Linked DNA regions of Rattus norvegicus. The main gene of each other region encodes a partner of the protein of the gene in region 2 in a complex. Links are inferred from orthologs where the notes say so. Each region holds a gene or a part of one and is shown on either strand. Other genes may lie near its edges.

Evidence for each region. The genes of interacting proteins can lie anywhere in the genome.
Region 1: the proteins of Phf2 (region 2) and Vrk1 are in contact, whole or in part, in a crystal structure (PDB 8F8Y), measured with the Homo sapiens proteins. The link is inferred for Rattus norvegicus from reciprocal best matches to the Homo sapiens genes PHF2 and VRK1. Residues at the interface, in NP_005383.3 of Homo sapiens: Tyr7, Tyr14, Val16, Thr17, Arg18, Phe19, Met20, Ile21, Glu22, Trp29, Glu39, Ala42, Ile45, Asp46, Tyr48, Lys64, Tyr145, Ser147, Glu150, Lys175, Val178, Asp179, Tyr182, Ser183, Thr184; in NP_003375.1 of Homo sapiens: Pro2, Arg3, Val4, Lys5, Ala6, Ala7, Gln8.

Annotation. Positions count from the first base shown.
Region 1 is NC_086024.1:130,678,190-130,682,483, reverse strand, and holds the start of Vrk1 (serine/threonine-protein kinase VRK1), read right to left. Parts: upstream 2,954-4,294; 5' UTR 2,664-2,953; exon of another isoform or gene 2,547-2,663; intron 1-2,546. UniProt on the Homo sapiens protein: Serine/threonine kinase involved in the regulation of key cellular processes including the cell cycle, nuclear condensation, transcription regulation, and DNA damage response.
Region 2 is NC_086035.1:15,988,117-15,992,609, reverse strand, and holds the start of Phf2 (lysine-specific demethylase PHF2), read right to left. Parts: upstream 3,017-4,493; 5' UTR 2,903-3,016; coding exon 2,805-2,902; intron 1-2,804. UniProt on the Homo sapiens protein: Lysine demethylase that demethylates both histones and non-histone proteins. Enzymatically inactive by itself, and becomes active following phosphorylation by PKA: forms a complex with ARID5B and mediates demethylation of methylated ARID5B.

The DNA.
Region 1 (4,294 bases), on a different chromosome or scaffold from region 2:
CCCTCTGATGTCTGAGCTGTCTAAACAGCTGCTACTTAGTAACACAAGATCCTCTCACTTGAAGGGAAAATATGACTCACAACATCCCAAGCCCACAAACCACTGCACCTGAAGTTCTTACGTTTATTAAAGAACGGCAGTAAAATGTCCTTCCTATAGTTAGATCCATTTATTGCCTACTCTGAGGTCAGGACATACCTCATCCCTCCCCAGGCTCTGAAGAGCTTCTCTTAAAGCACAGGCCTAGCCAGGTGAGGCATGCATCTCCCCACCACCACACCATGCACACATCACTGGCCACTTGTAAATCAGGAGACTGCAGCGTGCTCCAGCCAACCTAGTGAGTTCTAGGGCAGCCCCAGACCACACGCCAAGACCCTGTCTCAAAACTAAAGTTAATAAAGATCACGTACTACATGTGTGCCCCCAAAGGGCTGACACACTTGGGTTTGAGAACAAAGGTTGCAGGCGATGTTTAGAAATACAAGTTACTTCAGTGTAGCAACCTGTGGACACAGGGCTTGGACTCCATTTTCAGAGGGAATATTAAAAGACACTGGCTGGCCTTATGACTTTATAATGACAACTGCAAAGGCAGTTAAAGAAATATGGGCCAAAAGTTTCACCACTGAGCTAACGGCTTGGCTGCTGTAGTTACCACCTTCTAAACTCATCTCACATCCTTACTGCTTCAACCAAACAGTAGGATAGCAAGGGTTGGTTTTGCACTTAGCAAGTGCCACGTGGTCTCGGGTCTCAGGTAGCTCTCATGATCATCAGTCTGTGTCCTCCTGTATTTAAATAGAACCTGGACAGCCCAGCAGTGGTGGTACGCACCTTTAACCCCAGCACTTGGGAGGCAGAGGCAGGCAGATCTTGTGTGAGTTCGAGGCCAACCTGGTCTACAGAGTGAGATCCAGGACAGCTAGGGCTAATAATGAAACCATCTCAAAAACAAAATAAAACAAAAAACAAACAAAACCCTTGACAAGCATGCAAAATGCCCGACCTGTCTAAAACATGCTTGAGGCCATCCCGTTAAATCCATTGAGGACCCTCGCAAATCATCTTCCTCCACAGCCTCACCTCATTCTAGCAGGCTCACTGCCTGATACCTTAGGATGTGAGCCTTTGCTCGTTTGCATAAAAGCTCTGGGAGTCACACTTCTGCATTTGATTGCAAGATAAATCCTACTTTCAAATGCGTTTCTTTTTTTAATAAAAAATATTTTAAGGTTCTATTTTTCCAAATCAAATCCTTTTCATAGTATGTCTACTATGGATGCCCTGGGGGGGGGGGGGTGTCTGAAAATTTATATCTTTGTCTTTTCTAGACACCTGGGACATTCACTCATTATTATTTTACGTTAGTTCTCAAAGTTAAGGGAAGTTGGCCTATTTCCTGTAAGAAATTTAACTTTAGGGTCTGTCAACATTTGACATGCACTGCCGCTATTTTTAAGATACAAGCATGCATACTTGAGTAAGACTCTGCCTAAGCTTTCTATATAGCCACTGCCGGGCGCTCGATAATTTATAAGATGCCAGGCTCCCTGCTTGACACACTCTACCGTCACACTTGTTTAACAAACGCTTGTCTTTTCTGCCACACCAGGCATGAGCAGCAGCCATTGCAGTTGTCAAAGTGCATCTGTACTGGACACCAGTGCTGTACCAAAGGCCTAACACCTAACACACGCTTAGTATTCGGCTCAACCCATGCCACTGTGAGCACGGTCTCCGTCAGCGACGCTGAGTTGCAGTATCTGCCATTGGTGGTAGCACAACAGGGAAAGCCATTAGTTAAGTGATGTCAGCTTACATTCCTTTCCACAGGGAGATCAACATTATCTTAGCCACCCAGATACTTAATTCCAATCATAATTGTAAATTAAATTTCCCCAAACATTATGATCGGAGTATCACAAAAAAGGGAGAAGCCCTTCTCCTGAACTCTTAAGACTGGGGATGGTGGCCCAAGCCTTTAGTCCCAGAACTCAGCTGGCAGAGGCAGGCAGATCTCTTGTGAGTTCAAAGCCAGCCTGGTCTACAGAGCAAGTTCCAGGACAGCCAAGGCTACACAGAAAGGAAAAAAAAAAATCCAAAATAATAATGATGATAAAGTTCTGATCTACATTTTTTTCACTGTTTTGAATTCCACATTCAACAGATGGGCAATTCTAGGGTTGGGGGGGGGAGTGCCGGGAGGGCCGATTGGGGACTTTTTGTTTTTTGGTTGGTTTTTTTTTTTTTTTTAAGGGAAAGCAACGACGCTCTTCAACGATTCCCTAGGTTTAACCACCACCTTCCCAATGGCAAAATCGTGTTTCCAAATTACTCCAAGAGCAATGGGGGACAGAAAGGAATAATACAGGCAGAGACTTAAAGAATGGTTAACGTCAACGATAAGACAATGGGGGGGGGGGGATGGGTAACCGGATAAGGACTAGCTTGTGTCCCCAGCTCTCAAAGACTCTGGCGCACTTTTACACCTAGGCTGTGTGAACTGGAAACGGTCTAAAACAAACTTGGGCGCTGGAGCAAACCTGCTTGCCTCTGAAGACACTGCAACAGGAGACAGGTCACCGGCGGTGGAGACCTGTGGAGCAAGGCCAGGGAGGAAACGAGAAGCTAGCGGCCGCGGGTGTGCCCCGAGGCCTCACCTCACCGCTGCTAAGGAAGAGGCAAGCTCGGCCGGTCCAGATTCCTGTCCCGGTGTCCGCCACCTGGCCCTGTCCAGGCTTCGGGCGGCCTTCTAGAACCGGGCTTCCGGCAGCTCCGCGAGCGGGCAGAGAGGCGAGGGTTCCCGGGCTGACCCGACCCAGCAGCCGCGCCGCCTGACACCCGGATGAGCAGGCGCCTCTCTGATGCGTCGCTGTACCCACCGTCCCGCCGCCACCTCAGGGCTCCCTACCCAGAGCGGCCAACTCGCCGTCCCACAGCGTAGTACGAACTTCCCGCCGCTTTCTAGACTTGCGACTTGCCCACGGCGCTGTCCCCTCTGCACCTCGTAGTACAGAGCCTTCCCATTGGCTGCGAGCGGCGGGGAAGGCGGGGCGAGAGAAAGGCCGCGCTTCTCTGTCACCGCGGTGAGCATGCCGGGAGTTGTGGTCCTTGTGCTTGCTTCATGCTGGGAATTGTAGTCTTTGGACCTCTAAGAAGAGGGGCGTGTTCCTCTGAGCCCGAGGGCTTCTGGGAAGTGTGGTTTGCAGCCCGCTTGCTGTTTTACCAGCTACTGGCTCTCAAAGCCGTAAAAACCGAAATAAATATAACCAGTACTCACTGTTGCTTATTTATTAAACGGATAGACAAAAAGAGAGTCATTTCAAATACCCGAAGCATGTCTCGGTGTTTACCTAACCCGCCGCAGTGTTTAGGCTGCTGTTCTCTAACGTCAGTTTGCTTTGTTTCACTGTCTCCTTCCTAGAGGCTGGAAGCATGGACTTCAGGCTGCACTTTGGATCTGCGGCTTCTGAAATCCTGGGAAAGGCCTTGGGTTTGGCGCTGTTCTTGTTTATTGCTATTGCTTTACCAATTAAAATTTTTGTTCTTTTTGTTGTTGTTGTTGTTTGTTTTGTTTTGAAGACACGATCTCACTATGTAACTCTAGCTCTCCAGGAACTCCCGGGATAGACCAGGCTGGCCTGAAATTCATAGAGATCCACCTGCCTCAGACTCCCAACAGCTGAGTTAAAAGTGTGTGCTACCACTCCTGGCCTGTGTTGTTTCTTAAGGTGGATCCTAAAACACTGTATGAACTTTAGTCCCTACAAAATCTGAGTTATCGTCCAGTGTGCAATTTAACATTGATCTTCATATCTTGAATTCGCCATCCCAGGTACCTATACTAACTCCCGTTTCTTTCCTATTTTGCTGTCTGCCCCATATAGCAGCCCCACAAAACAACTGCACCGCATGTCCCACAGCTCCCAGGCTTCTGTTGGGTTTGATCCACGGGGGACCCTAGAATGAAAGAAAAAAGGAAAATCAGCTAAAGAAGGTGTTTCCTCTGATTTCTTCCCAGCAAACACGAAAGCTCGCGTTCTCTCTCTCTCTCTCTCTCTCTCTCTCTCTCTCTCTCTCTCTCTCGCACACACACACACACACACACACACACACACACACACACACACACGCAGGTAAGTCCCTTTACTGAAGGTGACTTCAACTGGGCTTCCCGTACACACCGAAAGCAGCGTACCATGGTGATTGTGTTAAGGCTGGAGCTGGTAACATAGTGGCTGCCCCTGAGCCACAAGCTACAGCTCCATCCTGTGTTGCTCCGACCCCACAC
Region 2 (4,493 bases):
TTTATTTTAATGGTTACTGTGTATTGCAAGTAACAATAATGGTCCATTTTGGAGAATGATACAAAGTTTCCTTTTAAAAGAAATGTTTGCCAGGGTACGGAATCCAATGCTGTGTGGGATCTGGAAACAGGAAAAGTACATCCAGGAGGGAAATCTGGCTAAAGAAGTTTGAGTAAAGGGTGGCGCTCAGTCCCGAGTATTGAGCCAAAGTTCTCGCCTTATTTTCAAAGCTGGCACAGCCAACTAAGTAACTTAGAAGTGGAGTGGAAGGTATGTGTAGCCAAACTCAATCCTTCTGTTATTGGTGTTTTGGTATTTTTTTTAATTACTTTTAAATTTGATTTTGGAGGGGAGCTCATGCCATGGTTTACATGGGTAGGTCAGAGGGCATCTTGCATCTAGCATGTGGGTCCTAGGATTAGAACTAGGCTAGTCAGCAAGCCTTTATCTGCTGAGCCACCTCACCAGCCTTTGTTACTACTTTTGAGACAGGGTCTCATATACCCAAGGCTGACCTCGAACTTGATGTATATCCAAGGATGGCCTTGAACTCTTGATATTCCTGCCTTCAACCTTCCCGGTGCTTAGATTATACACATGCTCTACTACTCCTGGGGATACCATTTAAAAAACTTCTTCAGTAAGCCTTGTTTCCTCAAGATCAAAAGTGTAAAATCATACCAGCTGTTCAAACGTGTGCTAAGATGTAAACTCTGAGGGAATTAATAATCCAGGTGCTACATAGCTCTGAGGAGAACCATTGGGGTCTTCCAGGAATAACTGGAGGGGGAGACACACAGGGAGCTGACCACACGCCTTCCACTCATGAACAAGAGAGACTTGAGAGGGGCCCACGGATCTGTTCCAGACTACAGGAGCAGGAAGAGGCCCAGGCCTTTCCCTCCCTGCCTCGCTTAGGCCCCAACCCTTGACCCTGCACAAAGCTAGCCAGAGCTCTGGACCCATGAAGAGGCACCACTCAGGGTGCACTTGAGCATAAGAAAACACCTGCCGTGAGTGATCCCTTTTACTGCCCAGAGCCCCAAATACGTGTAAATGCATCTGTGCTAATCAACTGCCTGTCTCAGATCAAAGCAAAATCCTCAGAGAAATAGTAAGGTGACTGACTAGACCTCCAATAACAAAGCAAACAATAAACAACAAACCTCTTCCAGTGTCAAGACTGGTCAATCATCTCATCCCCCCTCCTTTCTCTGCCTCAGCAGCAGCCCAGCTGACAGGTACCCAGGGGTGCTATAGGTCTTGGATTGAGAGAGGAAGAAGAGGTGCCACCACTCTTGGGGTTACTCAAGTCCAGATTCCCAGCGTTTCTGGGTTTGGAGAGACTTCCAGGCTCTACCCACTGTAATCTGGCCACAAACCTCTCGGATATGGAAGCCAGTTGGTCACTGTTTATAGTGGCCCTGCTTGGAGCAGAGCCCAGGGGTCACACAGCTCTGAGTGCTCTCCACAGTTCTAGATATTTGAGGGAGGCAACACAGGATACTCTAGAGATTCCAGTGAGCCATAAACGACCACCCCTCGTAAGGCCAGCCAGGTTGCCCTACAAGAGTGAACCTCTGTCCCAGGGCCTACAGATGTGAGGCGGCCCATCACATCCTGACTACCTAGCTCCCCACACTTAAAGATGACTAGACCAGAGACCACAGCTCCCTTTCAAGACACCCTAAAGATCCTGGATGTGAGATAACAGAAGGGTCTTCTCTCTAGAAGGAAGGACAGGGACCATGTAGAACCATACACTCTTCTCTCCCTCCAGCCTGCTACTAGCTGCTAAAAACTCACACCCAGGGGACAGGCAGACCTGTCCAGCTTCAGGCCAGCCCTCTTGAGGCCCAAGCACATCCCACAGGCAAAGTCAAACACAAGAGAACCTGTTGGAGCAGTTTAAGCAGGATGATCACCTCTTTCTCCTCCTCTTACTTCTAAGTAGGAAGGGACTTAGGCTCTTAAAAAGTAGTCACAAGGCCAGGTCATGGCCACCGGCAAGGGCCCAAAGGGCGGGTTTAGTATCGCCTAAGCTTACCTCTTTCCCTCCTCCCCGTCTTCCTTAAAGAGCATAAGGTCATGTCAAAACTGGGGTGTCTCTGCCTGAAGCAGGGAGGAGGGAAATGGGGAGCTGAGCAGGCCAGGAAATAGGCGGCCAAGCCACAACACCCCCACCCCAACACACAGACACTCACATCGGTCTGTCACTGCACTCCCGCCTAGGCCCGCAGGCCGGCCCGAGCCAGTAGGCACGCGGGGTCCCCGGAGGGGTCCTGCCCGCCAGGACAAGGTCCCAGGGAGGTTCCCGGGCTCTGGCAGACACTGGGGGCATTGGCCGCTACCTAGCTACCGTCCTACCCGGTCCACCCTAGCCCTGCCAGCTCCGGAGCCCGCCAGTCGCGCCTCTCGGGGGACCCGCGCCGGGCCGCGCGCCCGCCTCTCCCGGCCCGGCCGCCCCGAGCCCGCGCGGGGAAAGTTCCTGCAACTTCGCAGGGGGCTGGCGGCGGGGGCCCGGGGCCTGGGCCTCGTCCTGCTCCCGGCCTCCGCGGCCACTGCGGCCCCGCTGTCAGACGACCGGGTCCCAGCCCCAACGCGGCCGGAGCCCCAACTTCCCCGCGCCCCTCGCCCGCCCCGGCCGCGGGCCTCGCTTTGTGCGCGGCGGCCGTACGCCCCCGCCCTGGGCACAAAAGGGCGCGCGGCCCGGCGGCCGAACGCGGCTGCGGTGCCTGGCGGGGCCCGGGGCGCGCGGCTGGGGCGCGGGGCTCGGTGGGCCGGGCGGGCCGCGGCGCGCTCACCTGCCGTGGAACCAGTCCTTGCAGGCATCGCACTCGATCATGAAGCGGGTAACGTCGTAGGGCAGCCGGCAGACGCAGTACACGGGCACCGTCGCCATGTTGCCGCGCCGCCGCTCGCCCCGCCGCTGCGCTGCCCGGGTCGGGCCGGGCCGGGCCGGGGGCCGCGCGGCGAGGGCGGCGGGGGCGGCGGGCGCGGGCGCCGCGGCCGGAGCGGACGGGGCCGGGGGCGCTCGGCAGGGCCCGCGCGCGCGCTCGCGGCCGGGCGCGTCCACACAATGCCGGCGCGGGCTGCTGGGGCCGCGCCGGGAGCCGCCCGCCGGGCCGCGGGGCGCAGGGCTGAGAGTGCGCGGGGGGCCCTGCCGCGCGCGGGACACAAAGCGAATGGACGCGCGGGGGTGGCGGGCGGGGAGCCGCGGCCCCACCGAAGGGACCCCCGGCCGCCGAGCGGCCGCTACGTCAGCGCCCCGGGTGGCGCCGCCTCCGCCCGCCGGCCTGGGCCCCGCTCCTGCCGCCGGGAAGGCGGGCCGCGGTAGAAGGTGGGCCGCGCGCGGGCCTGGGGGAGCCAGCAGCTGGGCCCGGGGGGAACCCCGCGGGAGAGGATGGCCCCGGGACGCCAAGAGAGACCAGCCGCGGAGCCCCCTGCCCCGGACTACGTGAACACAACCCGAACAACCCTGCCTTAGCCAGAAGCAACTCCTTGGCCTTAACTTTCTTCTGACCCCGAAGTGGGATGGACAGGGGGATCTTCCTCCTCTTCCTGGGCCCGAGAGCCTCACTCCCATCCCGAACTGAGACCGAGTTACTGGCTCTTGAACAGCCTCCCCTTCCCCTTCTTTCTAGCTGGGGCTGCCTTGCTTCCTAGCGCGATCCGGTGAACTTTCCCGGTGCTCCGGCAAAAGTCAGGGGAACTATTGTAGGACACAGCTTACCTGGCATTGCTGCAGCCCAGGACCCCTTATTACAACCCATAGACACCCCCCCCCCCGACCTTAGGAGCGGAGGACAGTTCAATGACTCCAACTGAGCCACAAGACTATGGGGGAAGACAGGGGTTATGTTGTTGCTCTCACCCCTGCAGTCTTGCCCTGAACTGGCTCTCTGGTCTCACCTATCCTGCCTAGGGCTTTTTTGTTTATTGATCAGTGGGATATGAGTGAGGGTCCTTCTCTGTTCCCTACCCAGGTCGTTCCTGATGAGCAGGTCCACATATTTAGTAAGAAACCTGTCTGCTAGATTTGCTACCCCTCTGCCTATCCTCACACAACACGTGGAGATGCTAGTCTCTGCAGGTAAATTCCAGAGTTTCAAAAGACCTCTGCTTACCTTGACAAGGCAGAGTCCTAGTCATCCCTGCCCAGAGTGCAGCTGCCAATCAGGTCCCTTGCTGGCAACTCAGGGGACAGCCTGTTATTGAGCCAGGATCTGCCCTCACCCTTCCCAAACAGGTGAACCCAGGGCCACAAATCAGGACCTGACCCAGGGCAAACTGTGTAAGCAAAGAGTACACATGTGGAATGGGAGACAGGAAAACGACCTCGGAAACTGGGGACAGGCAGGGTACCCCATCAAACTATACACAATGAACTGCCTGCCCGAATTCCAGCTGTCACCTTGGGTCTCCTCTGTACTGGGTGGGTCTTCCTGTGACAAGGCAAGGAATAGCTATTAATTCCCTGTCCCTGCACAGCA